Linked DNA regions of Notamacropus eugenii. The protein of the gene in region 1 interacts with the protein of each later gene in a biochemical or structural test. Links are inferred from orthologs where the notes say so. Each region holds a gene or a part of one and is shown in the gene's direction. Other genes may lie near its edges.

Evidence for each region.
Region 2: the proteins of CASK (region 1) and F11R form a complex in vitro, tested with the Homo sapiens proteins (2 studies listed by BioGRID and IntAct, with this or other methods). The link is inferred for Notamacropus eugenii from reciprocal best matches to the Homo sapiens genes CASK and F11R.
Region 3: the proteins of CASK (region 1) and CASKIN1 interact in a biophysical measurement, tested with the Homo sapiens proteins (2 studies listed by IntAct, with this or other methods). The link is inferred for Notamacropus eugenii from reciprocal best matches to the Homo sapiens genes CASK and CASKIN1.

The regions. Positions count from the first base shown.
Region 1 is NC_092876.1:432,454,641-432,464,383, forward strand, and holds the start of CASK (peripheral plasma membrane protein CASK), read left to right. Parts: upstream 1-3,188; 5' UTR 3,189-3,318; coding exon 3,319-3,377; intron 3,378-9,743. UniProt on the Homo sapiens protein: Multidomain scaffolding Mg(2+)-independent protein kinase that catalyzes the phosphotransfer from ATP to proteins such as NRXN1, and plays a role in synaptic transmembrane protein anchoring and ion channel trafficking.
Region 2 is NC_092873.1:267,439,667-267,449,409, reverse strand, and holds the start of F11R (junctional adhesion molecule A), read left to right. Parts: upstream 1-4,706; 5' UTR 4,707-4,832; coding exon 4,833-4,890; intron 4,891-9,743. UniProt on the Homo sapiens protein: Seems to play a role in epithelial tight junction formation. Appears early in primordial forms of cell junctions and recruits PARD3.
Region 3 is NC_092872.1:47,853,275-47,863,017, forward strand, and holds the start of CASKIN1 (caskin-1), read left to right. Parts: upstream 1-4,628; 5' UTR 4,629-4,684; coding exon 4,685-4,778; intron 4,779-8,953; exon of another isoform or gene 8,954-9,743.

The DNA.
Region 1 (9,743 bases):
AATTGGAGATAATCATCCTTCAGTGATCTGGAAACTCATCTGATTTACATTCCATTGGAAATTTATGGAAATTTATATAATAGACTTGGAAAAAATCAAATATTTGTCAATGGTACACTTAAATTTCAATTGTATAAGGATGGGTTCTTGATCAAGAATTACATTTTACTTGTCAAAATTCTGTGAACTCAATGCCAAATCATGTGAAATGCGACAGGACATATTGCATAATAAAAAATTTTAAGATGTAAAAAGTTGTAAGGCTTGTTTTTGTCAATTAGTTTAAGTATTTTACTTTATGCTGTGTACACAACACTATATTTCTTCTAACTCTACCTGGAAGAGAGACTCCGAGATGTATTTGCATAAAGATGGTCATGAGGGGTTTTTTTGTTTGTTTGTTTGTTAGAAGAGATTGTAGATAACTTAGAAAAGAACGGTTTTAGTTGTGAGTAGGCAGGGATAATGAATAGCTGAAACCCTGGGAGACTGAAATGATGGTGCTGCCATTCACAAAAACAGGTGTTTGGAAGACGGGTGAATTTTTGGGCAAAGGTAATATAAACACAACCTACCCATGACTGTTCTGAACTACTCCCTCTTGTTTACCGAAAAATGAAAAGTGGAATGTCTTACTCATCATACATTAGCTGACAGCACAGGTTCACCCCTTGCAATGATGGGATTGGGACAGAGGATAGGAGTATTCCTTGCAAGCAGTATAGGGTGCCTTGGTCAGCTTAGGTAATAACCTTTCTGAAGAGCCCAAGCTTGAGGTAGAAAAACTGGAGACCAAAGGTGGGAGTTAGGATTGGGGAAGGGGTAGAGAAATATTGAAAGCGGCGGGCCAATTGTGGAGAAAAGTCATTAGCTGGCAATGGGGGCATCCTTGGAGTCGTTCTACATCCCTCCACTTTGGAGATCTCAGCAATAGCACAGAATATCATCTATGCAACTTTTGGTTGCTTTCCAGGGACTACTGGACTCTGAATTGAAGCAAAACTATTGCTCTTCTAGGAAAAAGTTGCACTTGCTAATATTATTGGAGTCTTCTGAGATGCGTAAGATGAACGCTTACGGCCAGGATTCTTAATGGAGCAGGTTTGGGGAAGAAAGGAGGAGGGAGAGCTCTGTTTCTTGAGAGAGGGTTCAAGTACATGCACAATGCACAAGCAACATTTGAAAAGAAACTATGTATTTCTCTTTAGCGAATACTGTAGCTGTTACTTTATTACACTAGAGAATTTTACTAGATACTTTGTAGCGCTTGTCACTTAAGAACTGCTTGGGCACTTTTTCTTTGAACGCTGAATGGAGGGGGGAGGGGAGGTCTGTTTGAAGGATGTTTTGCACATTCTGCACGTGTTCAGGGAAGCAGAATTTCCAGGCTGCCTCACGCTAAGAGTTCAGGATACTCACTGCACCTTGTCTGCAATTCCTTAGGCTGCATTTTCTTCCTGGTTCGTGGTGGCCGTGTTGGGTTAGCTTGTTAGGGTTAGAAGGACAAGAAAATGGGAAAGTAAAAAAAAAAAAAAATTCCCACACTTCCCTGCTTTGATCCGAGGGCAAAGCACACTATGACCAGTGTTTGTCAGCACACCCAGGATCACGGGGGAAATACAGCGTGTTGCAAAAGCTATCAAAACTCAAAACTGCGCTAGGACGAACACCCCAAACCTAAGTGGTTTCCCCCTTTAAATGGCTAACACAATTGTTCCGCTGGAAGGAGTCGCATGGGTGGCATGCACAATCTATGTGGCATACCTTTGTCTACAGCTACCCGCTAGCCTTCTAGCGTCCTCCTCCATATGGTTGGACACGAGTCCGCCTTCCCCACCCCCTTCACTTCAGTAAAGAATGACGGGATGGGCCTGAAACCGTCACGGAGGAGCCTTCCTTTCCCATTCACTAAGGACGAAGCTGGAGCGCGGTCCCGCTCCCCGGGGAGCAGAGGGGGCACGGAGCTTCTCTGCAGCCCACAGCACTGCCACCTTCACGCAGGCGGCTGCACGCCGTGCCACTTCTCTCGGGCGACGCAGGGAAGCCAGCCTTCTTCCCTCCCAACCTGCACACGCACCTACAGATCCTCCTCCCCTTCACCCCCCACTCCCCACCCCGCCGTCGTTGCAGGAGCGCCCCCCCAGGCAACTGCACCCTTCCCCCTTCACCGCGCCCCGCCTTTCTCCCCATCCCTTTCCATCCCTTCTCCGCCTCATTTTCCCTCGTTCCCGTTCGCCGTGACGTTTCACCGGCGCGCGCATGCGCCGTGCACTCCCATCCTACTCCCCTTTACTCTCCCGCCGCCACCGCCTCCTGGAGGGGGGGCGGTGAGGGAGGAAAAAAGGGGGCGGGGCCTGGGGTTCTGGAAGCCGCGGCCGCTGTTGCCGCTGCAGCGGCCCGAGAGAGACAGGGAGAGGAGAGGAGAGAGGGAGGCTGGGGTGGGGGAAGGAGAGTACGAGTAGGCGGTGAGGCGTGTGTGTATGTACGTGTGTGTGTGTATGCGGGGGAGTCATCCGCCAGGAGCCTCGGAGGAGCTCGCAGGAGGGGACGTGCGGCGGCGGCTCCTCGCCCGGCTCGGGGACTGAAGAAGGGAGAGCGCCTCGGCGGCCGCCGCCTCCCCCATCGCACCCCGCCCCGGCTCGGCCCCCTCCCCTCGCCCACGGCGCGCGCTCGCTCGCTCACACAGCCCGGGCGCGGCGGCGAGAGGAGGAGGAGGAGGAGGAGGAAGAGGAGAACGAGGGGGGGGGAGCGGCGTCTTTGCCCCCGCCTCCAACCGTGACCGCCGCCCCCCCCCCCCCCGCCGCCGGAGTCCTTCATGGTCCTTCCCCGGCCCCCCCGCTAGCCCGAGGAGCCACCGCCGCCGCCAGGCGGTGGAGAGAGCGGGGCGGGCTGGGAGGCGCCGCCGCCCGCGGACGCCGCAGGGGAAGGTGCGGCCGGGCAGAGGCGGACGAGCGGAGGGGCTGCCGCGGCGGTCGGTCCGGGAGACCGGAAGGAGGCGGCGGCCCCGCGGCCCGGGCTGTGCCGCCGCCGCTCGCGCCGCCGGAGGATCCTTGCTGGCGGTCCCCCGGCCTGGAGGCGAGCAGGAGGGACGAGGACGAGGACGAGGCGGCTGGCTGCAATCCCCCCGAGAGTCCTCCTTGGCCGTCGTCGCCGCAGGTCGTGCCGGACCGAGCGTTCCCGGCTGAGAGGGCGAAGAAGGGAGCCCGCGGAGGGTGGTGGTGAAAAACAAAAAGCACCCACAGAAAAGCAAAGAAACACTGCTGTGGGCGGCGTGACTGTTTCTTGGGCACCCTCTCCGTTTGATTCCCCCCCTGGACCATGGCCGACGACGACGTGCTGTTTGAGGATGTGTACGAGCTGTGCGAGGTGATCGGCAAGTAAGTCCTCCCCTACCTGGGGGGAGGGGAGCGTGCCTGGGAAGAAACGCGTTCGCTGGCGCCCCTGGCCCGCCCCGCCCGCCGCCTCCTCGGGTCATCCCCGTGCGTACCTGAGCCCGGAGCCCGAGCGGGGCCCTGCCACCTCCCTCCCCGGAGGGATCCGATCATTTCATTCCCCCACAGCCCTGCGTGATTTCGGGCTGTTTACATTGTATCTGACGGCTGCCGCACATGGCCTTGGCAGAGCTGACTTGGTAGTCGCTCTCCGGGAGCACTTTGGGTTATCGGTACCACCTCACCTACTCAGGCCACGAGGAGAGGCTGGCATCTTTGTTGGTTGTTGAGTGGGTCGGGGGCGAGCTGGGGCTGGGGGGCCGAAGTGGACGGTTGCTTGGTTTATGGGGCGTGTATCCACCGGACTTGATATACGCCTTTGTGTCCAACCCCAGGACCTTATTGGAGGTGGCCGCTTAAGTCTACCTAGATTAAGGTTCAAAGGAGACCGGATTCGGGTTTTTAATGTCTCGTTATGCAACAATTATTCAAACAAATGTTCATTGCTTCTGTCAAACTGGAGTTTGGATAGTTGTTTTGGCGTGGGAAAGATAGATGTATGCTTTGAGTCACTAGTTTGGTATAGTATACGACAGTGACAGCCAAAGTTCTCATCCTTTTTATCTTGGTTGAGGAATGACACTAGGAAAAAGCCAGGGGATCCAATGAATAACAGTGCTGATGGAGTGTGAAATCTGCAGTCACTCCTTTGGGTTTTTTTTCCATCCTTTAAATTCGTTTTTTAATAGTTCCCCTTATAGACTATCTTAAATGCACAATTCTGTTTAACGAATTTGTGAATGAAATGCTGTTGATTTGAGGTTGGCTTTATTTTAGTTCTGCATGTAATTTGCACATTTAGAAGTTTGAATGGCAAGATGTGAAACTGGCCTCTCTCAGATGAGTTTGACAAGGGTCCTTATTAGCTCATTGCTTTTGGGGGAGAATGCTTTATTGTCTTCTAAGGTCTAGAACTGGGAATGAAGTCTGAGATCCGTTGTTAGAGAAACTACCTTGAACTCGAAGGCATTTTGCAGGGAAAGAACTGAGTCTAACTACCTTAGAGCGGGCTTGAAATCCTGCCTGTGAAGCTGACTATCTGTGTGACCTTGGACGAGTCACTTGAACTTTGTGAGCCTCAGTTTCTTCACCTGTAAAATGAGAGGACTAGACTCTCAGATGGACAGCTCTAGATCTGTGATCCTATGATACTAACTCTTCAGAGTATCAAGAAGAATATTGAAGAAAAAAATGACTTTTTCCTAATCTCTCCATTTCTTAACCCTAGCAAGTACTTGTGGCACTTACCTCTTCACTCTGCCCCTGCAGTTCCCAGTGTCCTTTACCAAGTTGGGTACTTGAAGTTGTAGATTTGCAGATGTGTATTTTATCTGTTTCACTAATTCCTGAGTATGAAAAGTGGGTATGCTGATAATGTTGAGCATAGGTTTAGAAGGGAGGTTCAGATATTGTAATAAACTGTAGTTCCCACATGATGAAATTGTGAGTACACCTTACATATTTTACTCATTGATTACTATGCCTACGTGTTCTTGTTTAACCAACTAGTATATCCTAACGTTCTCCTAACACTGTGGTGCGGTAATTATTTGAAGCTTTAGCAATTTCAGAAAATAGGATATCTTACTAAAAACAGAATGAAAGTATTTTAGGTATACATAGAAAATTCAAGAAATTAAAAAATATAAAATAGTAGTATTACCATTGGAAAGAGTGATCAGAAACCAGTTTTGCTAACTTAATTTTCTTTTCTTTTAGTTAGAATGTGTTGCAATGGAAAGAAGGCTAAATCTGGCTTTGCTTGCTACAAGTGTGACTGTAGACAAATCACTTCCCACTCTGAGCCTCAGTTTCCTTATCTCTTGGATGAGAATTGAACTAGAAGGTCTTTTTCAGCTCAGACAGTCTGTGATCACTGATGATACAAGTTAGGTTAGAGTCTATTTAAAATAGATGATGGAGTCATTTTTGGCAGTCAGTATTTTGATTACTTGAGATTATTTCTGCTTTTCCTCCCCCTCCCTCCAAGCTCAAAGAAAGCTTCAGAACAGTTGAACAAACTGGTCAGTTAATTTTAGACTGGCTTGAGAGGAAAAGCTAGTTTTGAACTGGTACGTTTTGAATCTATCTTAATTCCTCTGAAGAGTCAAATCTTATTGAAATCCATAGAAGACAAAAATCTCATCTGGACTTGGTATTGCAAGAGCGCCATTTATTTTCTTTGATTCCTTTAGTGAATTCTCCTGTGTTTTGAAGACAGCATTTTGAGGAAAGAATGTAGTGATGGTGATTCTTGACCTTTGGAAAGTTTGAGAGGGTTATAAGTAAATCCTTGCAGCATCTATTGAAACTGGCTTAGGGACTGCCTTCTGTAGACACTTGGAAAGCACGTAATTTTTTTTTTTCCTGGGATGTGTTGAACTGTGGATTGAAAAACCTTGAAGAAATTCACAGAGAAGGGGCTTGAAAGCACATCAATATTGTTATCTAGCTACTGTGACAGTCTACAACTTTTGTTTCTCTCCAACTAGTCTTATAAGGTGTTTTGAGTTATGCCATAACTGGCTTTAAGTTCCTGCTGAAAGTACTTTGAAGGAAATAATCTCTTTGGCAAGTCAACAGGGAAACAATTTTATATTTATTCGGTTGTTTAACAAATATCAGTTAATCTTATTTTGTGCAAGACCACACTGTTAGGCGCAGTAAGAAAGTTACACATTTTGATATACTTTGAGCTTGTTTTAGGAGGGTTTGAGTGTTTCCTGTTGAGATTATCCTCTTACAGTTTCTAAAAATGTTAGCTTGCAAGTTCTTTTTCAGTAACTTTGGAATGGGGATAGACTGGAAAACATTTCCTAGGACAAATTTATTTTGGCCTTTATAGTTATTTTGAGTAATTAATCTGTGAGGGAAATACATCCTTACATCAGGACATTTTGAAAATACCTCTGTTTTCTATAGATTACTTACATTTGAAACATTTCTCTAAATTTTAAGAGTCCAATATTATGTTTTGTTGGTTAATACCTTTGAAGAGACAAGAATTAAATTATAATGGTGATTCTTTAACATTTGCAGATTTACTGGTTAAGAAAATATAGTTGTTGCTGGTAAGGGAAGGAATTAAATTGAAGATATTAGAAATTTTTTACATTATTTTATTGTACTTTGTGCAAACTTAATATAAAATAAGCAATGGATACTATTATATATATCATAAGAAAATTTGAAATAATTGTTGGAACGAAGACATAAACTCCCTTGTTTATAGTTGTTTTAAGGGAAGGGGAACAACAAAATACACATAATTTTCACCCTTATTGATGGTATACCTATGATTGCATTTTGTGAAAATAACAAATTTTTAAATATTAAGTCTTGTTTCATCCCCCATCAGCCCCCCAGAAATGACAACATTGCAGAACAAGAGCAAAGTTAACAATAAAGTTGTAACAAAAATGTTATTGTTCAGGTAGATGATAATATTTTTAAAAGCTTAATATTATTGTGTAATGCTTCATATTTGGGGGAGTTACTGTCTGAAAACAAAAAATGCTTTTTGATTGTAAGTGCTGAATTGAAAAAACCAAGACATGGATTTTACCTTCTGTGGTTTCCTGGATAGTGATAGGCACTCTGCTAAGTTCTAGGGTTACAAAAAAAGGCAAAAAGAGTTCTGCCCTCAGGGAGCTCATATTGTAATGAGGGAAGACCAGGTAAGACCATCTCACACTTAGGAGGTATTTTTGAGATAAATTGGAGCTAACTTTACCCCACAGGGAAAGCACTGGGGCTATGGGTTGGAGAGAGAGAGAACAAGAAGGCGGCTTCTTACGGAAGGTGGCATTTGAGAAGAGTCTTGAAGGGAGCCAGGAGGCAGAGATGAGAAAGGGGAGAGTGTTTCAGCCGTAGGGTATAGTAGCCAGTTAGAAAGTGCAGAGTATGGAAGGTGGAGTGTCATGTTCCAGGAGCTGCAATTAGGCCAGTGTTCCAGATTGTAGAATACAGGGCACTGAAATAAAGTGTAAAAAGGGTCTAAGCTGAGAAGAGTTTTAAAAGCCAAACAGAATTTTCTGTTTGATCTTGGAGGTAATAGGGAACCACTGGAGTTTATTAAATGGAAATGACATGTTCAGATGTATGCTTTAAGATCACTTTGGCAGATGAATGGAGGATGAACTGGAGTGGGAAGAGACTGGAGGCAAGGAGCCAACTAGCTGTCTCTTACAGTATAGTCCAAGTGTGAGGTGATGAGGGCCTGCACCAGGGCAGTGAATCAGAGGAGAGAAGGGGAAATATATGAGATAGAAATGAAAGGACTTGGCAGTAGATTGTTTGGGGTAATTGAGAATGAAGAATCAAAGATGAGTTGCCAGCTGGGATGATTGGGAAGACAAAAATGCCCTCAGTAGCTTGAGGACATTTAAGAGTCAAGGAAAGCATTGGGGGAAAGAAAGATAATGAGTTGTTCTAGATATATAATGAGTTTAAGATGTTTCTAGGATGTCCAATTGGATGCCAATAGGTAGTTGGAGATATGAGCCTGGAGGTCAGGAAAGAGGTAGCTCCATGGATAGAACACTGGACTTGGACTAAGGAAGACCTGAGTTGGAGTTCTGCTTCAGAAACTAGCTTTATGACTGTGGGCAAGTCACTTTATCTGTGTAAGTCTCAGTTTCTTCTTATGTAAACAGGAAATAGTGATAGCTCCTGCCTGATAGGGTGGTTGTGAGGATCAAGAGAGATAACAGGTAAAAGCACTTTGTAAACCTTAATTAAAAGGCAATATATTATTAGAAGTCATTATTAGTATTATAATAATTTTAGATTCTGGCTGGCTTTTCTATACCTTTAATATTCACATTGATTCATTTCATCTAATACTAATATGGAAACTAATGTTCTTAACAGCATAGACCGGGAATTGCTTCTATAACATTTACTAATGAAGATGGTTGTCTGTTGGCACAACTTACTTTAATATGAACTGTTTCATTATTTTAATGTACATTGTTTGCAGTGCAGTATATTAGAGGGGTAGGGTTAAGTTGCTTTATGCTCTTGAAATTCCATCCTTGCAATTCTAGTAATATATTGTAGCAGGGAGTTTATATAAAATTACTATTTATATACATATTAAATACGTTTACTAGTTCAGTGATTCTCAAACTTTTTTGTCTCAGGAACACTTTACACTTAAAAGTTTTGAGGACACCTCTGTGGTTGTAGCTATATTTATATAGGTAGGTAATATCTATAAATATTTACTGTATTAAAATGTTAATAGTATTGTTATGAAAATAGTTTTGACTTTGTGAACCTCTTGAAATGGGGGGGTTCCCTTGACTTTGTGAACTGCTGTATTATGTTATTCATGCTGAGAAAAATCCAACTCTAATAATTTGTCCTAAATAATTTAGATTTCTCATATTGTCTGAAAAAAATGAGTTTCTAATAGCACCCAACTGGGAGTTTTAGGTTACTTTGACATCTTGCCTAGATGTGTTATTAGTTTTTTTATATTAGGAAAGTGGATACCTTTGCCAACTGAATTGTATGTATGGTGGTAATAAATGAAAATTTTTAGAGGTTTTTCACGGGAAACTTTTGGTCCCAGTCCATTTTATAGTTAACAGAGTTAGGTTAGCAAAGTAAAAATACCACTGGCCTTAGTGAAACTTGCTCATAGGCACAGATTAAGTCTAAAGATTAAATGTTCTGTGGAGGTCAAACAACTCTCCATAGAGAAAAGCTGTGTGGTGGTACAGTCATTTAATGTACCATGCACACACGTGAGAGGTGTGTGTGTGTGTATATGTGTGTGTGTGTGTGTGTGTGTGTGTGTGTGTGTGTGTGAGTGTGGATAGACAGATGCTGGGGCCTAAGTTGGGTAACTATAGGGAATACCTGAAGTTGATTTCTGCATATAAATGACCTTTGGGAATCTTTTTCCCATTTTCCTTTTTCAAATGTGCTATAAGCCTTTGATTCCCTTGAGCTGCATATGTTGGCTTGCCTTGTACTCTCTGTCTCTGGCATGCTTAGATTCCAATAATTGTGACCTTTAACTATTGTTAATTCACAAGTTTCCATTCCCTAAACTCCTTAGTAGCTCTCTTTCCCCCTCAATTTTCTTATCTTTCAAATTACTTTACCTGTTGGGTTATTTGTGACCTTTTATTCTCTTAGGTCAATTTTGTTATTTTTTTATTAGATCTATTAAAAAACTCTTGATAGTATGATTGGTATGGAAAAGAATAAGTAAATTCAGTATTGGTTATTTTAATTATG
Region 2 (9,743 bases), on another chromosome or scaffold:
TTTTACAGATGAAGAAACTGAAGCTGACAGAAAGGTTAAGTGTCTTACTCAGGGTCACAAAGCTAGTGAATGTCTGAGGCTGTGTTCAAAATCATGTTTTCTTGAATCTAGGGTCAGCTCTCCAACCACTGTGCCATTCCTGTATTGGGCATGTCCACAAAATATGACTTCATCTGCACCTCTCTGTTATGAAGTGGTTAGTGTGTTTCTTCATGAGTTCTCCAGAGTCATGGCTGGTCATTGCGTTGATGAGATTTTCTAAGTCTCTCAAAGTTGTCTGTCTTTGTAATATTATTGTTATTAATTATTTGTATTGTTTAGGGCAGATAGGTAGTGTGGCAGATAGAGTGCCAGGCCTGGAATTAGGAAGATCTGAGTATAAATCCTATCTTCAGACACTTATTAACTCTATAACCCTTTTGCAAATCATACCATTGGCCGTTTGCCTCAGCTTTCTCAACTGTAAAATAAAGATATCTATCTCACAAGGTTGTAAATGTTTAGCTATATAAATGCTTATTTCCATTTTCCCTACTTAGATTAGTTCAGAAGAAGTTGAATTATCAGCTGTTCCCCAATCCCTTTCCTTTCTTTTGTATAGACTTCTATTTAATAATACTCTGATTACAAGAGATAATTTCCCCCTCCTTTCTCTCCCTTTTTTCCTCCAAGTACATCCCCTCCCCTCTCTTTTCATTCGTCCTTTAAGATAATCAAAATATAATAATCACTTCCAGGCCCTCAGTCTATTTACATCCCACTATGACCCCAGATGAGTTCTGAAAGGATACATATATCATCTCCATATGATTGTTTGCTAATATTTAGCTCTGATTTTCTTGCCTCCCATGTTTGCACTTCGAAGTCTATATGTAGCTCTATTCTTTTCATCAAGTATACTTGGAAGTCTTCTGCTTCATCAAAGATCCCCTGTAACATTACACTTAGTATTGCTGGGTAATTTACTCTTGGTTATGAGCCGATAGCCTTTGCCTTCTGGAATACCATATTCCAAGCTCTCTGCTCCTTTATATTGGCAGTTGCTAAATCATGTGTGATTCTGACAGGTTCCTTGGTACTCAAATTATTTTTTTTCTGGCTGCTTGAAGCATTTTGTTTTCCTTTGATCTGGGCTGGATTTTTATTATAATGTTCCTGGGAGTTTTCATTTTGGGTTTCACAAGGTGAGCAATGGATTCTACTTCTACTTTGTCCTCTGAATCTAAGGGATGAGTCGTTTTCTTTTATGATTTTTTCCAACCTCTTTTTTTGTTTTGTTTTGTTCATGGCTTTCAGGTAGTCCAATGATTCTTAAAGTATCTTTCCTTGATCTGTTTTTCATGTCAGTTGTTTTTACTATGAGATACCTTATATTTTCTTCTATTGTTTCCAGTCTTTTGACTTTGTTTTAAAATTTCTTGTTACTCTCTGGAATCATTGACTTCTATTTAGTCCATTCTAATTTTCAGGAAGTTTGTTGTTTGAGTAAGGCTTTATATATCTCTTTTGCCAAGTTGTTAATTCCTTTTCCAATTCTTTCTTGCATAACTCTCATTTCTTTTCCAGTTTTTCCCTCATTGGTACTCTCATTTCATTTATACAAATCTTTTAAAACTTTTTTTAAAAGACTCTTACTTCATCTCTTTCATGAATTCTAGTTGAACTTGTGCCCGCAACATGTTTTTCTTGAAGGCTTTGCTTGCAGATGTTTGGGAGTTATTCTCTCTGGAGTTGTGTCTTGAGCAACCCAGTAGCTTTTCATGGTGGGACTCTAGTTTTGTTTGCTCATTTGTACAGTCTGTTTCCTGACTTTGGACTTTATGTTTGGGACAAGCTCTGAGGACTTCTAGAGGTAACGTTTGCACTGACCTTTTGTCCTCTAGATTTCTGCTGCTGTCTTTTTGGGGTACTGAGTATTGTGTTATTCCAGGATCTCTGGGGTAGCTCATGCTGGGAACCTGCAAGCTTTCAGTGCTCCCAAACAAGGTCTCATCCTGGGCAAAGCCATCAGACTTCAGCTCTTTAAGTTCTTGACTTAAGTTGGGTCAGATCAACATACTTGTGAACTTGGCCCACACTGAAGTTCCAGTAGACTGCTGCTGAACTCGTTTACTACAAGCCATCTGGAAGACACTGTTGGTTTAGAGTGACAACCTGTAGGCTCCCCTTTGTTCTACGATTCCTTCCCTATTGATTCCTCTATAGATTTCAGACTGGACTAAGACCTGGAACTGAGTCCTCTCTCTTTTCCTAGGATCAGTCACATAGCTTATTTCTGAACAAGCTCCGTGCTCAGTACACAGCCTAGCATCATTCCTGGAGAGACCTTATTTCCAGTGTCAGCAGACTTTCTCTTTTGCCTCACTATGCTGACCTGGGCTGGAGATATTATTCACTTTGACTTTTTCTTGGATTTCCTAATCAGGATTTGGTCTGCTACACTTTCTAGATCTGTTTGGAGGACTTGTGGGGTAAAGCTCAACTCTTCTTCCTTTACTTCCTGCTATCTTGTCATTCCCTGCGTTTTCACTCACTTTCCCCCATGCCTGAAATTCTCTTTCTTTTCCTCCTGTCAAGATCCCTTTGGATCCTGACTCTATCACCCACAATATTTTCTATCTGTCCCAAATTCTGGTCACCTGCAAATTGAATAAGCATATATCATCTGTGCTTGTCCAAATCATTAATGAAAAAAATGTTAAATACCACACGGCCATGGAGAGATCCCTGGTACATTCCACTGAATATATCCTGCCACTTTGGCATGAATCATTAAGTACATTTTGAGTCTGACCTTCAAACTAGTTCTGAAGCTCTCTGTATCTAATCCATCTCTCTATATCCTCCACTGTAACAGTATATAACTGGAAAGAAGATTGGCAGAAATTAGGCATAGACCAACACCTTATACCATATTCCACAATACATTCTAAATAGATACACAACCTTAATATTAAAGATCCTACAATAAAAAAAATTAGAATAGATTACGTACCCCTCACAGCTATATGTAGAACATGTATTCTTAAACGGAGGACAGAGGCAATTAGAAAAGATAAAACGAGAACTTTGATTATACAAAACTGAAATCTGCACAGACTAAACTAATGAATCAGGATAATCAGAGATGCTCTCAAATGGGAAAACATACTTGTATCAGATTTCACTGATAAGGATCTGGTATTCAAAATACCAGATTACCAAATTAACCAAATTAACAAATTAACAAATATAAGACTAATAGCCATTCCCCAATAGATAAGTGGTCAAAGGATAGGAACAAACAGTTCTCAAAAGAAGAATTGCAAAGTATTTACAATCACATGAAAGAATTATCTAAATCACTAATAATAAAAGAAAATCAAATCAAAACAACCCTAAGTTTTTACCTTGCACCCTGCAAATTGGCAAAGATGACAAAAAATGGCAATAGTTAATGTGAGAGGGATTGTAGTATGATAGGCATATTGATGCATTGCTGGCAGAGCTGGGAATCAGCATAATCATTTTGGAAAGCAATTTAGAATTATGTAAATGAATTGTCCATACCTTTTAATCCAAGAAAGCTGTTGATAAAAAAAGGTCATTGATAAGAAAAATGTCCCCACATACGAAAATATCATAGGGGTACTTTTGTGACAGCAAAAAATTGGCTAAAGGAATAGTTAAACAAATTGTCTCAGATTCCTCATTTGTCAAATGGGGTTAGGCTGAATGACCTAGTCTAGGTCCTTCTAGCTCTTAATTTATAATCCTATGGGCCTATGAAGTGCCAGATTGGGGGAAGGTCATGAGACAGGAAAGAATGTAATGATCTGGGTTGGGATTAACAACAAGGAAAGTCACCCTTTTCCTTTGAAAGAGAAGGAAGAAACATATTAAGTAATATAGCATTAGAGCTGAAAGTGGACTTTAGAGATCATCTAGCTGAACTTCCTTATTTTATGGATGAGGAAAGAGAGGCTCTGAAAGTTGAAGTGATTGCGTAAGCTCATACCTCAGATATGTAGGATGAGTCACAGAGAATAATAGAAGAGGGAAGGAGTTGAGAGGGCTGGAATTGTGAGGCTATGATGGCAGGTGAGGTAACCTGGGGAGAGCAATGGGGACAGAGGTGGATTGGGGAGCTTGAGCAGAGAGGTTTGGAAGGAGCCCTGTGAAGAATGTGATAGAATTAATAAGTCATGAACAAAATAATTGCCTTGAATGTAGCAAGAACGACTTAATAGAGGTTATACACAATAGAACTATAACGGAAACACCCTTCCCACAGTCTAACGATTCTCTTCTGCTGTACCTAAGAGGTTCCTGGTATTCAAGAAACATCCGCTACTGGATTCCCAGACTTGGGACTCCTCCCCTGCTTTCTTACCTGAAACCCTATCTAGATTACCCCGCCTCTTCCCAGACCCCAGACGTACTTTCAGTGGTTCATCGTCAACAGGAATACCGTCCAATCACTCAGGTGAGTGGCCCTCACCTGGAGAAGGCTAGGAATTAGTCAGAGGGAGTGACATTGGCCTAAACCAATCAGAAAAGTTTCGGTCTTGGAACTGTTCCAATCCTACCGGGAGTTAGGTGCTGGGTGGGGCTGCACCTGGCTACGGTGAATCACTCAGGAGTCCGAGCAGCTCTCCCTACCAATCAAACTATACAAGGGGCGGAGCGCCAACCAATCGGGAGTGGCGGGAAGTGGGGGGCGGGATTCCACCTGGTGGCTGGGGTTCAGTCTGGGCGCGGCGGTTGGGGAAAAGGCTACTCTTGAGCTTAGTCTGCCTAGAGGAACCTTGGCCAGCGGCGAGGATCTGGCGATCGGATCGGGATTGATCAGGATGGCGGAGCGGGCTGGGCAGAGGCACCTTCTCCTTTTTTTCACAGCGGCGACCCTGTGTGAGTGCTCTGGGTTTTAAGGAGGATAGTTGGAGTAGGATGGGGGTCGGGTGCTCCACCCCTCTCCCGGGCTCGGCCCCCACCTAGGAAAGTGTTTTGGCCCCTCCCCCCATGCATACACAACGTGCTTTCCCCCCATTTGCAGCCCTACTGAGGGCTTTGTGCTATTGTCCCCGGTCTCTGTCTCTCCACTCTGTCTCTCCACTCTGTCTCTCTGTCTCTGTCTCTGTCTGTCTGTCTGTCTCTCTCTCTGTCTCTCTCTGTCTCTCTCTGTCTCTCTCTGTCTCTCTCTGTCTCTCTGTCTCTCTGTCTCTCTCTCTCTCTCTGTCTGTGTGTCTCTCTAGCTCTCTCGTTCTCCTTCCCTCTTCCCTCTCAACACACATACATACAAATGAAATATTTGTAGAGCGCTTGGCACTTAATAGGCGCTATATAAATTCTTATTTCCTTACCCTATTCATAGCTTATATACACAATCCTTTAAGGAATTTTGTCCACTCGCTTATTTTCCCCATACACTTATACAACCTAGAGAGGGGGTTCTATGGCAGAACCACATATAGGAGGAATAGCTCTTAAAATTCATTTTTGTGTCTTCCCACCACCTGGTTGGGGTCACAGTTTATGGTCGGCTGTGGGTTGGGCAGGGAAGGGGGTGAAGATTTCTTTCCTGTTGCCGAGGAGACCTTTTCTTTAGCTACTTGCCTGATTTCACGGGAATGCGCCGTCCCTCCCCCGCTTAGTTCCTTACTATTTGCAAGTCCGTGGTTGTTGCTTCAGGGGGCCATTTATCCCCAAATTGGAGTAAAGTTGAAATTTGGAATGGCTTAAACAGGCGGAACTTCCCTTAGACTCCCCTGTTGCTGTCCTACCTCCGCCAAACTTTTATCTTTGTTGTTGACTAACTGACCATTCCCCTTGGGGAGGGGGGAGTGTTTGTCGATTGGGTGGACTTTTTCCCTACACAGAACAATACTGCCCTTCCTCCACCCCAGGGTCAGGATTTTTGTTTCTTTTTTAAACTCCCTTTCCTCTGGAACAATGGGGAAACGCTTTTGGTGGGCCCTGTGCCCTTAGATATATCCGTCTAGGCTAGCTGTCAGGTTTTTGTATTGGTTAGTCTGTGTTGAAACCTGTTTATGCCTGTATCCATATGTGGAAATGAGTTATATGAATGTTTATCTGTCTTATCTGAGTATATGTGCTTGTGGGGTAAACAGTGTATAGGTTTTGTGTGCCTTTTTTCTTTTCTCATTTTTCCTCTTTTCCCTTTGGTTTCTCTTTTATTTCCCTTTTTTTCTTTCCTTTCTTTTCCTTTTTCTTTGTCCTCTGATTAAACTTTAGAAATTTACTGGCTTTGCTAAGTTCCTTGTGCCATATCTAAGATTCAAGAAGTTGAGCCCTTTCAGACAAAATGTCCTGTCTGAATTACCAGAGGCAATCTGACACTCTAGCCTTCCTTTTTCTCTAGCCAGTGGCTTTAAGGGGTCAAAAGTTAATGAATCCTGGACTCTTCTTTTCTGTCCTCTTCTCTTAATTTCTTTTACATCTCATGGGAATTTCCAGGCGTTTTGACCCAACTTGAGTAGTACTTTATTAGACTACTTCCTAGTCTGGTTAGAGAATGGAGGAATAGATAACCTAGAGAAATGAAAGAAATATAATAAGAAAAGTAATTGTAACGGCTCTTATATTATTGCAAAGAACTGGAAACTAAAGGAGTGCCCATCACTTAAGATATGTGAATATAATGGAATATTATTGTACGTTAGAAATGATAAAAAGGAGAGTTTCAGAGAAACCTGGAAAGTCTTATGTCAGCTGATATAAAGTGAAGTGAGGAGAACTGAGGAACAGAGGAACAGCTGCTGCAGCCTGGGGATCTGCAGGGTAATGGGTGAAGTAAAAGGAACCGAAGATTGATTTAGTAGAGCTGACTTAGGAGTATAGTTGAGTACATGACATAGCATGTTCAGAGGATGGTGAAATTGAATAGTGCTAAGAGGCAGGAGACCAGGGTCCTTAAGTAAATCACTTTTTAACTTTTCTGGATTTACTTCTTATTTGTTTAAAAAAAAAATCTGTATCCTCCCCTACCTCACAAAAGTGGTGGAGATGAAATAAGATAATAGGCATAAATGCAAGATAGTATTATCTGATGATCACTGCCTCAGAATGGAGCACTTTTACTTAGGTGGGCTAGGGTGGAGACTGCCATAACTTTGAGATCGATCTGGGGAGAGCATCATGCGATATTTAATGGATGAAGATGAAGCAGAAGGGAAGTGTATGTTTCTAACTCCTCACTGGTAGGATGTAGAAAGTAGAGTTGCTTTTAGTCTGTTGCTTGACTGTTTCTCTCTTTTGTCTGCTTGAAGCATCTGTAGAGTAGTTCCTCAGACCTGTGTTTCCCCATTCTCTGACCCATCTACCTTTTCTGCTTTAGTGATCAAAGATGAATTCTTTGGAGGTTTCCACAATAAGATATGCTATCTGGATCTAGTGTATGGAAAAGAACAGAGTTCTCTTAGAAGGATATCTCAGAGGGTAAGGAACGGAGTTGAAAGTATAGGCTAATTCAACCAAGGTTTATTAATTGCCTATTATGTATAAGATACTGTACTCGGTACTGGGAATACAACCACCAAAATGTAATAGTCCTCAGGGGCAAGTGGAGAAGATAAATATGCTTGCCCAAGTCTCTTCAATTTTGTGAGTTCTTTGAAATGTAGGGACTGTGATGTTATTTGTATTTGTGACCCTATCACATAGCAGGTGTTTCATAAATGTTTGTCAAATTAAAAGCTGAATCTCAGTCTGGGAAGTTTCTTCATGGCTATTATATGGAGGAAGGCAACCTGCTATTCTCATTTCCTCTGAGGACCAAATTAGAAGGAAAGGCTAGAAATTACAAATAACAGGGAGCTTGGGGACTAGGTATTGGGAAAGAAGGAGGTATGAATTAGCAGAACTAGTGACGAAGTGAGGTGGCTAGAATCTCCTTTCCAGGAGTTTTCTTCACGTAGGAAAGATCCCAACAGACTGGGCTAACCTAGGGGAAGTTCTGCCTAGAAACTGGGTGGGAGAACCTCTAAAGTAGAGGTATAATTCTGCATGGGAGAATGTTTTGTGGCATTTAAGGGATAGTACAGAACAAGGGGCTTGAAAGAACTTGAATTGAAATTCTATGCTAGTTTTGCAGGTCCTGGTTTTCAGTTTCCAGGCATTTCAGGTGGAGTAAGAAGGGCTCTTTGCTGTGTCCCCCTGTTTCCTGTGCTGGATTCGATGTTTTTGGCCTTATTTCCTGAATTCCATGTAATTGTTGTGGAAATGCTTGTTTTTAGGCTACAGTTGGGTTCCCTGGGGATTATTACTGGCTGGCTGTAAGATAAGAGATGTAGTTAACGGTTCATTAACTTCATTGCCCTCCTGTAGCTGGAGATGTGGGGGCCTGTCCTGCTCTGAACTTGTTTCCTTGAGTGGGAGGAGACAGGACACAGATGCCAACTGACAAACTAGGAATGAGGGGTTAGGGAGGTGAGTCAGTTCTCTCCCTCCCTTCATTCTCCCATTCACCTTTGGCCTTTTGAACAGAATTTCGCTCAAAACCTGCAGCAGGCAATAAAAAAGTAAGGAAACATTTACTAATCACCTAATTTATGCCAGGAGCTATCCAAATATTATCTCATTTATTCCTCATTAACAACCTTAGGAAGTAGGTGCTACTATTATCCTCATTTTACAATTGAGTAAAGTAAGACAAACAAGTTAAGTGACTTGCCCAGGGTCACAGAGCTAGCACATCTGTTCAAGGCTGGATTTGAATTCAAGTCTTCCTGACTGTAGGCCCAGCACTCTCCACTGTGCCACATAGCTACCTCAACTAGGAGAACTGAGAAGTGTGTCTTGGAACACATATAATCTTTTCTCTCTTCTTTCTTTCTACTAGCTTGGCTTTTCTTTCCTTTTCCCCCAGCACCTTCATTCTACTTTCTTGTTTCCATTTCCAATACCCCTCATGCTCAGGAACTAGTCCAATTGGCCCCAAATTGGAGGTAGTTTTTTTTTAAATTAATTTTATTTATTTTCAGTGTTCTACAATCAGTACCATATAACTTAGATTTTTTCCCCTCCCCCCAGATGACATGCAGTTTTATATAGGTTCTACACATACATTCCCATTAAATACATTTTCACTAGTCATGCTGTGTAGAAGAATTAAAATGAATGGGAGAAATCATATAACAAAGCAAAATGTAAAACAAAAGAAAATGATCTGCTACATTCTGCGATTGAATTCCTTAGTTCTTTCTCTGGATGTGGAAGGCATTTTGCCTTAAAAGACCACTAGGAATTTTAAGTCCTTGCGTTGCAATGAAGTTCCAAGTCTACAGAAAAAACTCACACTCAGTATCAGATCATATAAGTATTTCCAGGCCTCTCTGAACTCTTCCTGTTCATCTTTTCTTATAGCACAATAGTATTCCATTACATTCATATACCACAATTTATTCAGCCATTCCCCAATTGATGGGTATCCCCTTGATTTCCAGTTTTTGGCCACCACAAAGAAAGCTGCTATAAATATTTTTGTACATGTGGGACCCTCTCCCATTTATGATCTCTTGGGGATACAGTCTTAGAAGCAGTACTGCTGGGTCAAAGGGTATGCACATTTTTGTAGCCCTTTGGACATGGTTCCAAACTGGTCTCCAGAATGGTTGGATCAGCTCACAGGTCCACCAATTATGAATTAATGTTCCAACTCTCCCACATCCTCTCCAACATTTATCATCTTCCTATTCTGTCATGTTTGCCAATCTGATAGGTGTGATGTGGTATCTCAGAGTTGT
Region 3 (9,743 bases), on another chromosome or scaffold:
TTTATAGGTTTATAGGTTGTCTTGCCCATTGGATTGTAAGGTCCTTGAGAACAGGGAATGTCTTTTGCTTCTTTTTATATCTCCAGCACTTAGCACACTGCCTGGTGAAGAGTTGTCACTTAATAAATGTTGATTGATTGATGAATTAACAAACAGCCATGACATATTATAAAAGACTACATAGCAACATTCCCAACAAGACTTCATCTCCATCTATAGCCTGTAAGTGATAGGACACCTTCTTCCAAGGCATCCCAATCTGCTTTTGAACAATTCTGCTAACAAAACTTTTCTTTATACCAAGCCAAATGTGTCCCTTTCCCCTCTTACCCATTGTCTCTGCTGTCCAGACAAGCAAGAGAAATCTAATCTCTCCTCTTCATGATAGTTCTTCATATATTTGAAGACTGCTTTCATGTTCCTCCTAACTCTTCATTAGGCCAAACATCCTCAGTTCCTTTACTCAAGTCTTGTATGGAATAATATTAAGTCCCCTTATTGCTTACCTCTGGATGTCCTTTGAAAATTTGGCACTCAGAGTTGGTCAGAATATTTCAGATATGGTCTGATATTGGGGTAGGATACAGGGAGACTATAATTTCCCTCATTCTGGATACAAAAGTTCTCTTAATGTCACCTGATAATAAATCCCTTCTCTGAACTTTTGTGCCAATGTCTCATCATGGCACAGAAGCAACTCTGGTAGAAGTAACATAACAAAAAATATTAGTAGGACAAAGTTTCTAAGAGGTCCTACCAAACTGGAAGGGCTTTTTTGAGTATAGCCCAGAAATGGAATGTATATCTGCTATCTAAGGACTAACCTAACGAAGTTTGGAGAGATTCAACAATATGTTGGTCAGCCATTGAGTCTCATTAAGATTATCTACGTAGGCAATAGTAGGGTTGCATTCTGCCTCAGTAGAGGGGCTATATGTACCCAGTGTGAAATAACAGATTCTTAAAATAATGAAATTAATAGAATAGCTTTTTCCCTCTTATATGTCATACTTTTGACCATTGAGCTTTAGGTACATGAAAACCCCTCGGTCTTGGATGAACATCCCTCTCTCACTATGTTAGGGACCTTCTGACAGCTAACTTACCCCTATTTTTTCTTGAGTTAATCAGGGTTAAGTGATTTGCCCAGGGTCACACAGATAATAGATATCTGAGGCTGGATTTGGACTCAGACCCTTCTGACTTCAGGATTGGTGCTTAAGCCACTGCACCACCTAGCTGCCTCTCTCCACCAATTAAAAAAAATTATATCCCTTCCTATTGCTCTTCTAACTAGTAGATTACTAAAGACCAGCTTCTTTGCTTGCCAAGTCTGGTCTCTGGAGAATTGATCTTTTAAAAAGAACAGAGCAGACTAAATCTTCATCTTTAGGGCAATTTCCCACTATTATGAGATCACTTAGATAGCCTCTGTGAAAGACAAAGATTATGCTGGGACCGTAGGCACTTGTCACTTAGAAGAAGAAACATCTTTTTCTTTACAATTGGGGAAGGTCAGTAGCATGGCAGTGGTATACTGGATGCCAGCTCTTAAATTTTCATTGTAAGCATTTATGCCTCCAAAATCTGCAAACACTATAGACTGGAGCTTGATTTATTGTTTTTTTTAAAATTTTAAACACTTAAGAAAGAGATGGGGAAGATGTTAATAATGCAGATTAAACACAAAAGTGTGCTATAAATCATTTTTTTGGAAAGCTGGTTGTTAAACATTTATCGGCACACCCGTGGACTGACCAGTGGAGCATATAGTTCTCAGCCCAGCTGGACTATGTGGTGACCAGCTTAGAACTGCAAGAAATATGGAAGATCATTTACTCTAATCCTATCACTTTATCAAGTAATTGAGGCCCATAAAGGAGAAGAGACTTTCCCAAGGTCATACAGGTAGTAGAGCAGGGATTTGAACTCAGGACCTCTGGCATAAATCCTGTGTATTTTTCATCACACCAAGATTCTTGACTTGAATGCATATATGCACATATATATATATATTATATGTATATAATCCTCTGTATGGCTGAGCTCTTCTCTAAGGCTTAAGGGTATACATTGGTGGAAGGAGGGGACTTTGGCCAGTTGAACTTTGCACCTTAGGTCCTGCCTCTAGTACTGGAGAGAGCTGTTAGGCAGGGCCCAATGCCTAGTAGAGAAACTTTTTCATTGGAGCAAGTCCTGAAGATTATGGAAAGTGAGAGCAGAGCCACTGCCCCCTGGATTCAGGGAGGGGTGTCTGAGTGGGATCAGGAAGGTGTCCAGAATGAAAGCCAGGGCCAGTCCCAGAGATGTAGAGTCATGACTTGCCCCCAAGATTTTAGAATGGCCTAGGGGAGATGGGCTGGGGTGGAGTGGCCTCAGGGTTGAGAGTAGGGCTGGTATCTTGGGAGAAAAATTGTAGAACAAAGCTAGGGCCCTCTAGGTAGCAGGTCTCTGTAGCATCCCTAGAGGACTGAGCCATTCCCCAGGGTGGGAGAATCCCAGGATGAGGGGGAGGGAGGGCAATGCCTGTGCAAATCACACTGCACATCATGTACTTCTTCTCTCCCTCTACCAAGAGAAATCTGGTTACAGTATGTAAGATGATGAAGGTGGTCTTGGTCTTATTCTTTTGCTTTAGGGCATTTAGGCAGGGGATAACTAGCTTGCCATCATCAGGTAATGGGGCTGCAAGGCTGACCATTTCTAGCTACAGAAGACGTGTATATGATGGTGATGGTGGTGATGGGGTTATCTGCTTGCTATCTGTCCTTGTCAATGCTTCTTGGGTCAAGGGCTAAATTTCCATGTCTCTATCTGGGGATAAACATTCATTTCTCAAGCATGTGTGTTCTTCTGGGGAAAGGGGAAGAGCTAGAGGTGGGGGTAGACGAAGATGAAGATGACCCAGCTCTGCCCCCTGAGGGAACCAAACAATTTAATGCCAGTGATGAAACGAGGACCTTTTTGACCATCATACTCAGAAGAATGTGACACAAACACCCTACGTGTTCTGAGGAGTGAGGGGGAGGTTCAGATGAGGGAGAGAGCATTCCAGTAGGAAGACGGAAGGGGAAAGTATGTTATTATAGTGGGCTTCCTGGAGGAAGTAGTGCCTGAAGTGGGCAACAATTTCAACAATTGAACGTTGGGGTGGGGGAAGGGGCATTCCCGGAGCAGAAAGTGATGTGAACAAAGCCTACAGAACGGGAGACTTGAGGGTGAGAATGAGGAGAGCGTCTGTCCCCAGTTTGGCTGGAGTGTAGATTATGGGAAAGGAGTATTGTGGGGCAAAATTCTAAAGTTAGGGTGACAGCAGATTGTGGAGATCCTTGAATGCTTTGCCAATGTGCTAACGGTAAGCAACGGTAAGCTCCATCAAAATACTGTTAGCAGATGGACTTTCCTGGGTGGTGATGGGGGAGTTTGTGGGTGTGTGTGTGTGTGTGTGTGTCTGATCCGACCCAGCAATGATCCAGGCTCTGACCCCAGCATCCTGGAGCAGACAGATACATAGCTGGGGTGAAGGCTTGAAATCTGGAGTCCTTCAGGACTGTTGTTGGTAACTGTATAAAGGCTCAAAGGGAACTAAAAATTTAGCTGACAGAACCCCAATACCATTTTAGGACAAGACTGCTCATCCCCATTAGGGAGAAGGGGCTGGAAGGAGGAAGATGGGGGTGTATTGTGTTTTCCAGGAAGTGTGAATGTGTAAAAGGCTTCAGGCTGTGAAGGTGCCACTGGGGTTGGGGGCGGGGTGGGGAACAGAGGTTCTCAGAAGGTTCACTGACGCTGAATTTATTATCGGGAGATCCCTCTTCAACACTATCTCTGACACCTTTTCTAACACATCTCTGAGTCTGACATGTCTCTGAGCCTCTGACAATGTCTCAGATCCCTTGACATCACCTCTGAGTTCCTGATACCCATCTCTGGATCTCTGACTGTTCTGAGGCCCCTACATGCTCTGAGACTCTGAGAAGATGTTTGAGCCCCTCCTTCATGCCTTCCCCCCCCCAAAAAAAATATCCTCAGCACCAACCCCTTCCTACTAGGCAGGTTATGGTTTCTCTGAGCACCATGGGAATGTTTTCCCCTACCCCACCCCAGGATGACTCTAGAGGGGGCCTAAGCCCTATCTCAACATGGAAAAACCCCAGGAGATGCTGCAGCTCCAGGACTCATCATCCTGCCCAGGGGTGGAGGTTATGCATCTCCATCCATCTTCTCCAGCAGACACAGACACACAGACAGAATCACAGACGCGCTGGAGGAGAAGGAACCCACTGTGATTAGGGAAGGGGGGAGGGACAAGATGTAGGGAGATGCTTGGGATCCAGGCGTCCTGGAGGCGGCGCCAGGTAACCAGGCTCCCCCAACCCCACTAACCACCCCCCCAACACACACACCCCCTCCGCCCGGGGCCGCAGCAGCCCCTCCCCCCGGCCCCGCCCCCGCCCATCCCCGCCATCCCCCCGCCCCCGGGCCGCCCCCCGCCCGTGACGCGCTCCCCCCTCCCGCCCGTGAGCCGCGGCGAGGATGCTCCGGCGCCGCTGAGCCCGAGCCCGAGCGCGGAGCCGGGGCCGGGGCCGGGGCCGGGGCTGGGGCTGGGGTCGGGAGACTCGGGCCGGGAGCCGGGGTTGGAGCCTGGGCGGAGCGGGACCAGGGCCGGGCGGGCTACCCCGTCATGGGCAAGGACCAGGAGCTGGTGCAGGCGGTAAAGACGGAGGACGTGGGCGCCGTGCAGAGGCTGCTGCAGAGGCCGCGGCCCGGGAAAGCCAGTGAGCGGGGGCGGGGGCGGGGGCGGGGGGGCTTTGGTCTGGGGGCGGAGAAAGGGGGGGTGTCTGGGAAGAGGGTGGGGGGCTTGGGGCAAGAGGGCCCCCGGGGTGGAGATGCATGCCTAGGAGATGCAGGGTCCGGAGGCGATGTTGGGTCTGGGGGCACGCATTGGGAGAATTTGGGGTGTCACGGGAGGCCCTGGTCATCTGTGAGGGCCAGGGGAGCGTGCAAGGTCTGGGAGGGGGTGTAGGTGGGGAGACATGGAACGAAGAGATGCTGGGGGATAGGAATGCAGGGTCTGAGGGGATCCCCAGGGGACCTAGGGGGTGGGGAGATACTGGGGGGTTTCAGTGTCTCGGGGCTCTGGGAGGTGGGGGGGATACAGGCTGAGGGGGGCGGTGTCTTTGGCCCCGCCCCCGGTAGCCCGCCTCCTCTCCCCCCCCCCCACTTTAGCCAGAGGCTGCAGAGAGGCTGGCCTGGGGCCGAGAGAAGGTGGTGGGGGCCAGGCGATGACTCGCCCTCGCCAGGCTCCGGAGGCGCATTTTATTCAACAGCCCAAACCCGCACCTCCCCCTACCCTTCTATGTCGTCCCTCCACCTACCCCCCCCCCATCTCAGCACACATACTCAAGAGGTATACAGAAAGCTACAGGGATACAGAGATAGATGGGCACAGAGAGGGCTAGGACAGACAGATGCAGGGTCACAGGGACTCCAAGACACACAGGTGGACACACATAAGCCAACTGGGCCACCTGGACAGTCCCGCGTGTGTGTGCTCTAGCTTCACATGCTGCCTCTCCCTAGGTGTTTGGGTGGGGAAAGTGAGGGGCAGGGTCCTGCCTCTCTAATTCTCTCTTTCAATTGATGATGAGGGGCTGTCCGTCCTTGTAGCTCCCCAGGGGGACTGGGTTGGGTCTTCTATCTATACTTTCGCGTCATGCTTAATAACAAAGGTTGGAGAAAACTGGGAAGGGGCCACCCTGAGGGTGTGGCTGATGTGACCGTGTGTGTATGTAAGTATGTATGTATGCATGTATATATGTGAGAGAGGTGGCTAAAGGCAGGGGACAGAGGGGAGGGGCTCTGTGGGGAGACATAATCCCATTTCATGGCCCCTCAAGAGAAGGTTTAGGCAATGTTTTACTGATGGGGAAACTGAGGCACAAAGTGGCTGAGTGACCTGTCCAAGGTCGCCCAACTTGGGGCAGAATCAGGATAAGGACTCAGGTGTCTGAGCTACCAGTCTATTCTTGGAGTCTATTTCTCTAGCCTAGGGGGATCTCTTATCAAACAGTCTAGAGAAGCTGAGGATCTCTAAGCACGCAGTGCCCATCTCCTTCTGCTGATATGGGAGGGAGGAAGCTAGCAGAGTAGTGAGGTTAGAACCCTTGGCTGCAGTGAGCTCCCCCTGGGAGGGCCTAGGAGCCTCTGCTCAGCCTCCTGATCCTAACGCTGATCCTGGCTCAGCCGGAGCCTCCCCCAGGAGCAGGAGATGGATGGAGGGGCTGGGAGAGGGCGGGGGAAGGATGGAAGGGGGGAGAGAGATGGGGATAGAAGCCAATTCCTAGAGTGTGTGAGATTATGCCTCCCTCTGCATGTGACTGACTGCGTGTGTGGCTATGGCATGTATATCAAAGTGCATCTGTGTGTGAGCAGTAGTTGGCAATATGTGTGCAGAAGTGTGTCACTGAGTGTTCGTGAACAATTGCAGGTTGTTTATGTGAATCTGTCACTCTGCCCCACCTATTCTCAAGACCTGGGACCAATGTAGGGGGAGGGGTTTCTTGGGAAATGGAGGCAGGAAGCTCCCTCCTCCCCAGGGAATGTCAGGGGCTTGAGGCAGTCTCAGTCCTGGGGGTGAGGGTGGGGAGAGGGAGGCAGTCATCAAGCCCCCAAGGTAGCCAGCCTCTGGTCCAACCCTTGCTTAATGTTTATCCTCTCTGGGGAGTCAGAAGGTGGGATAGAGGTGGGAACTAAGATCCCAAGTCTGATTTTTTTCAGGCTTCCTTAGAATCAGATGGGAGACCAGAATATTGTATGCACTACCCCCCTATACATGGAAAGATAAACACAATTATCCACAGACATATAACTGCCTATATATACACTGACAGACACAGGCAAACACACAGAGACAGACACAAAGTATGAGGAGGTGGGAGCTAGTTAGAGTAAGGGGCTTCTCCCTCTCCCTCAGCATTCATTTCTAATCTCTCTGATCTCTGTCAATTCTTGGTAGCTCTTAAGACACCCCCTCCCCTCAAGGCAGAGTTCTCCCCTGAGGATGATCATGCCTTTTGATCACACATAGGTTCTCTCAGAAGTTTACCTGGCTTAACACCCTCCCCCTCCCAAGGGTCACAAGTCAGATGTCCAACTGGAAAGTCCTGAACTAGAGACAATTTCGGCTCAGAGTCAGAAGAATCTGTTTCTAGGCTCTGTAAGAGCTCAAAGTTAGGTACCGAGACAGAGGGAAAGAGAGACAGGAAGAAATAGTAACAGCAGAGACAGAAACTGGGAGAGACAGAGATGACGCTAGGGACAGGGAGAGACAGTGACAGGGAAAAAGAGACACACAGAGACAAACAGACAGAAACAGAGATAGAGACAGACAGGGACAGGAACCCCAACTCGGTGCTCTGACTCCAAGGGGGCGGGCTTCATAAATCAGAGAGGAGAAACCCCTTCATGAATTAGCACGGTTGCCATGGTGACACTGGCCTGCTTTGGAGTAAGATATATTTTGATTCAGCAAAGTGCAGCTGGAATTTGGGCCCAGGGAGTGGGAGGGTGGGGCCGGGGCAAGGAGTGATGTTCAGTGGGCAGCTCTGGTGCTTGGAGGAAATAGAAATTTTTCCCCACTATAATCAGAAGGCTCTCATGTTTTTCATCATCCCTCTGACTCTACGCTTACCTGGCTTCCCATTTCCACCATTCTCCTTTCTGCACCATCCTCTGATTATCTTTCCCTTGCCCCTGTCTGCTTCCTCCATTATCATCCACCATCCACTTTACCTATCATCCTTTTTCATAATCCCTTCTTATTTCTATCACCAGTTCATACCAGTCTAGCTAGCCTGCCTGAACTGAGTGCCCCATGTACCCAATTTAACATTCTCCTTTGGTATGTGGAGGTGGGACTGGGGGAAGAAATGCTGGCTTTTAGACCTATCATCTTGGGGGATGAAAAAACAAGACAGAAGTGGGGTGATCAGGGGGCTAGGCTGTGGAAGAAGGGCCTCAGTTTGAAGGCTATAGAAACTGAGAGAAAGAAGTTCAGTGTGAACTGGACTGGTCAAACTAGACTTCCCCAGCCTTTCCCCAGCCTTCCTGAAGGAAGTGAGACTTAAGCTGGACCTTGAAGTATGAGTCAGACTTAGATAAGAAAAGATGGAGGGAGAGGGAATTCCAGGTAGAGGGAACTATGACCAAAATTTCAGATGTAATTTTCATAAGTATCCCTGGTGCCCTGACACATAATAGACATTTAATATATAAATGTGGAGGCATCTAGGTAGTACAGTGAATAAAGCACTGGTCCTAGAGTAAGGAGGACCTGAATTAAAATCCAGCCTCAGCTGTATGACCCTGGGCAAGTCACTTAACCCCATTGCCTCAAAAAAACACCAAACAAAATGTTGAACTTTTTTGAATTGAGATAGGTGCAAGTGTCTGGATATCAGTTTTACATATTAGAAGACAGGCTGAAGTGGTCCATGATTTGCCCAAGGTTATATAGAAAGTAAATATTCAGACCGGGATCCAACACAGTTCTCCTGACTTCTGAGACCAAGTCTCTTTATACTATACCACTTGAGTAACTGTATAGAGTGCTGTATTTAAGACTGGGGTTCTGAGGTTAGAGCCCATGAACTTCTAAAGTTCAGTTTTCTCATTTGGAAAATAGGAACCGTAATATTTATATTATCATCTCCACAGAGAAGTAGAATGGAATGGTGGATATAGTGCTGGTCTCAGAGCTAGGAAGACCTGGGTTCCAGTCTTACCTCTGGCACATGCAGGCTTTGTGATACTGGTCAAGTCACTTACCCTTTCTGTGCTTCAGGTAACACACTAAAACTGTAAATTGCACAGAATGTCTCCATCTGCATTTGTAAAGTAAGTTCCCTAATGGAAATTCCTCTTGTGTCTATGGAATTAGACCTGGGGGCCTTATCCCTGTAATCTTGTGCAGTTTAATTCAACAAAACATTCTTATTTTGTCCCTACTGTGTGCAAAGAAAACTTTTTGGATACAAAGGCAAAACACAGATTTACCCCTACTCTCAAGGAGGTTATGCACCATTGAGAGAAATTGTAGAGAGCTATGGAAAAGTGAGTTATTATGTATATGTTTTTGTGAAAGGAAGTACTCTGGGGCCACATTGTAAAGGCCCTTGAATACCAAGTTAAAGAGTTTGGGCTTTATTTAGTAGGCAGTGGGGAGCCACTGAACATGTTTGGAGCTCTGGAGAGATGGGAGCAGAGTGGTACAATGGGAGGATTGACTTGGCACCTCATGCAGCACGCATTGGAAGGGAGAGAAGTGAAAGCTGTTAGGATCATCCAGGAAAGCAATAATGAAGGCTTCTTCTAGGGCGGTGGTTAGGTGAGTGTAGAAGTGGGAACAGATGCCCAAAGTATTACTGAGGTAGGTCCTGATGGATGTGGGGATTTGATCCATAATTGGGCAATTATCTCCTACCATCTATATCCGTGTATTCATGTCTGCCTCTGTGTGTTTTTGTATATAAACCATGAGGACCATCTGTCAGTGGACTGTAATCATTTTGCTCCCATATCATTTGAGGATGCTGAGAGGCCAAGGGCAAGGGTCAGCCTTGCCCACCTCATTGTGACCAGAGTGGGTGATGGGAACAAGCAGAAGCATCAAGGTACTGATTCCTCCAATCTTCTGCCAATCAACTCACAAGGAATCTGTCATGATATCAGAATAATGATGT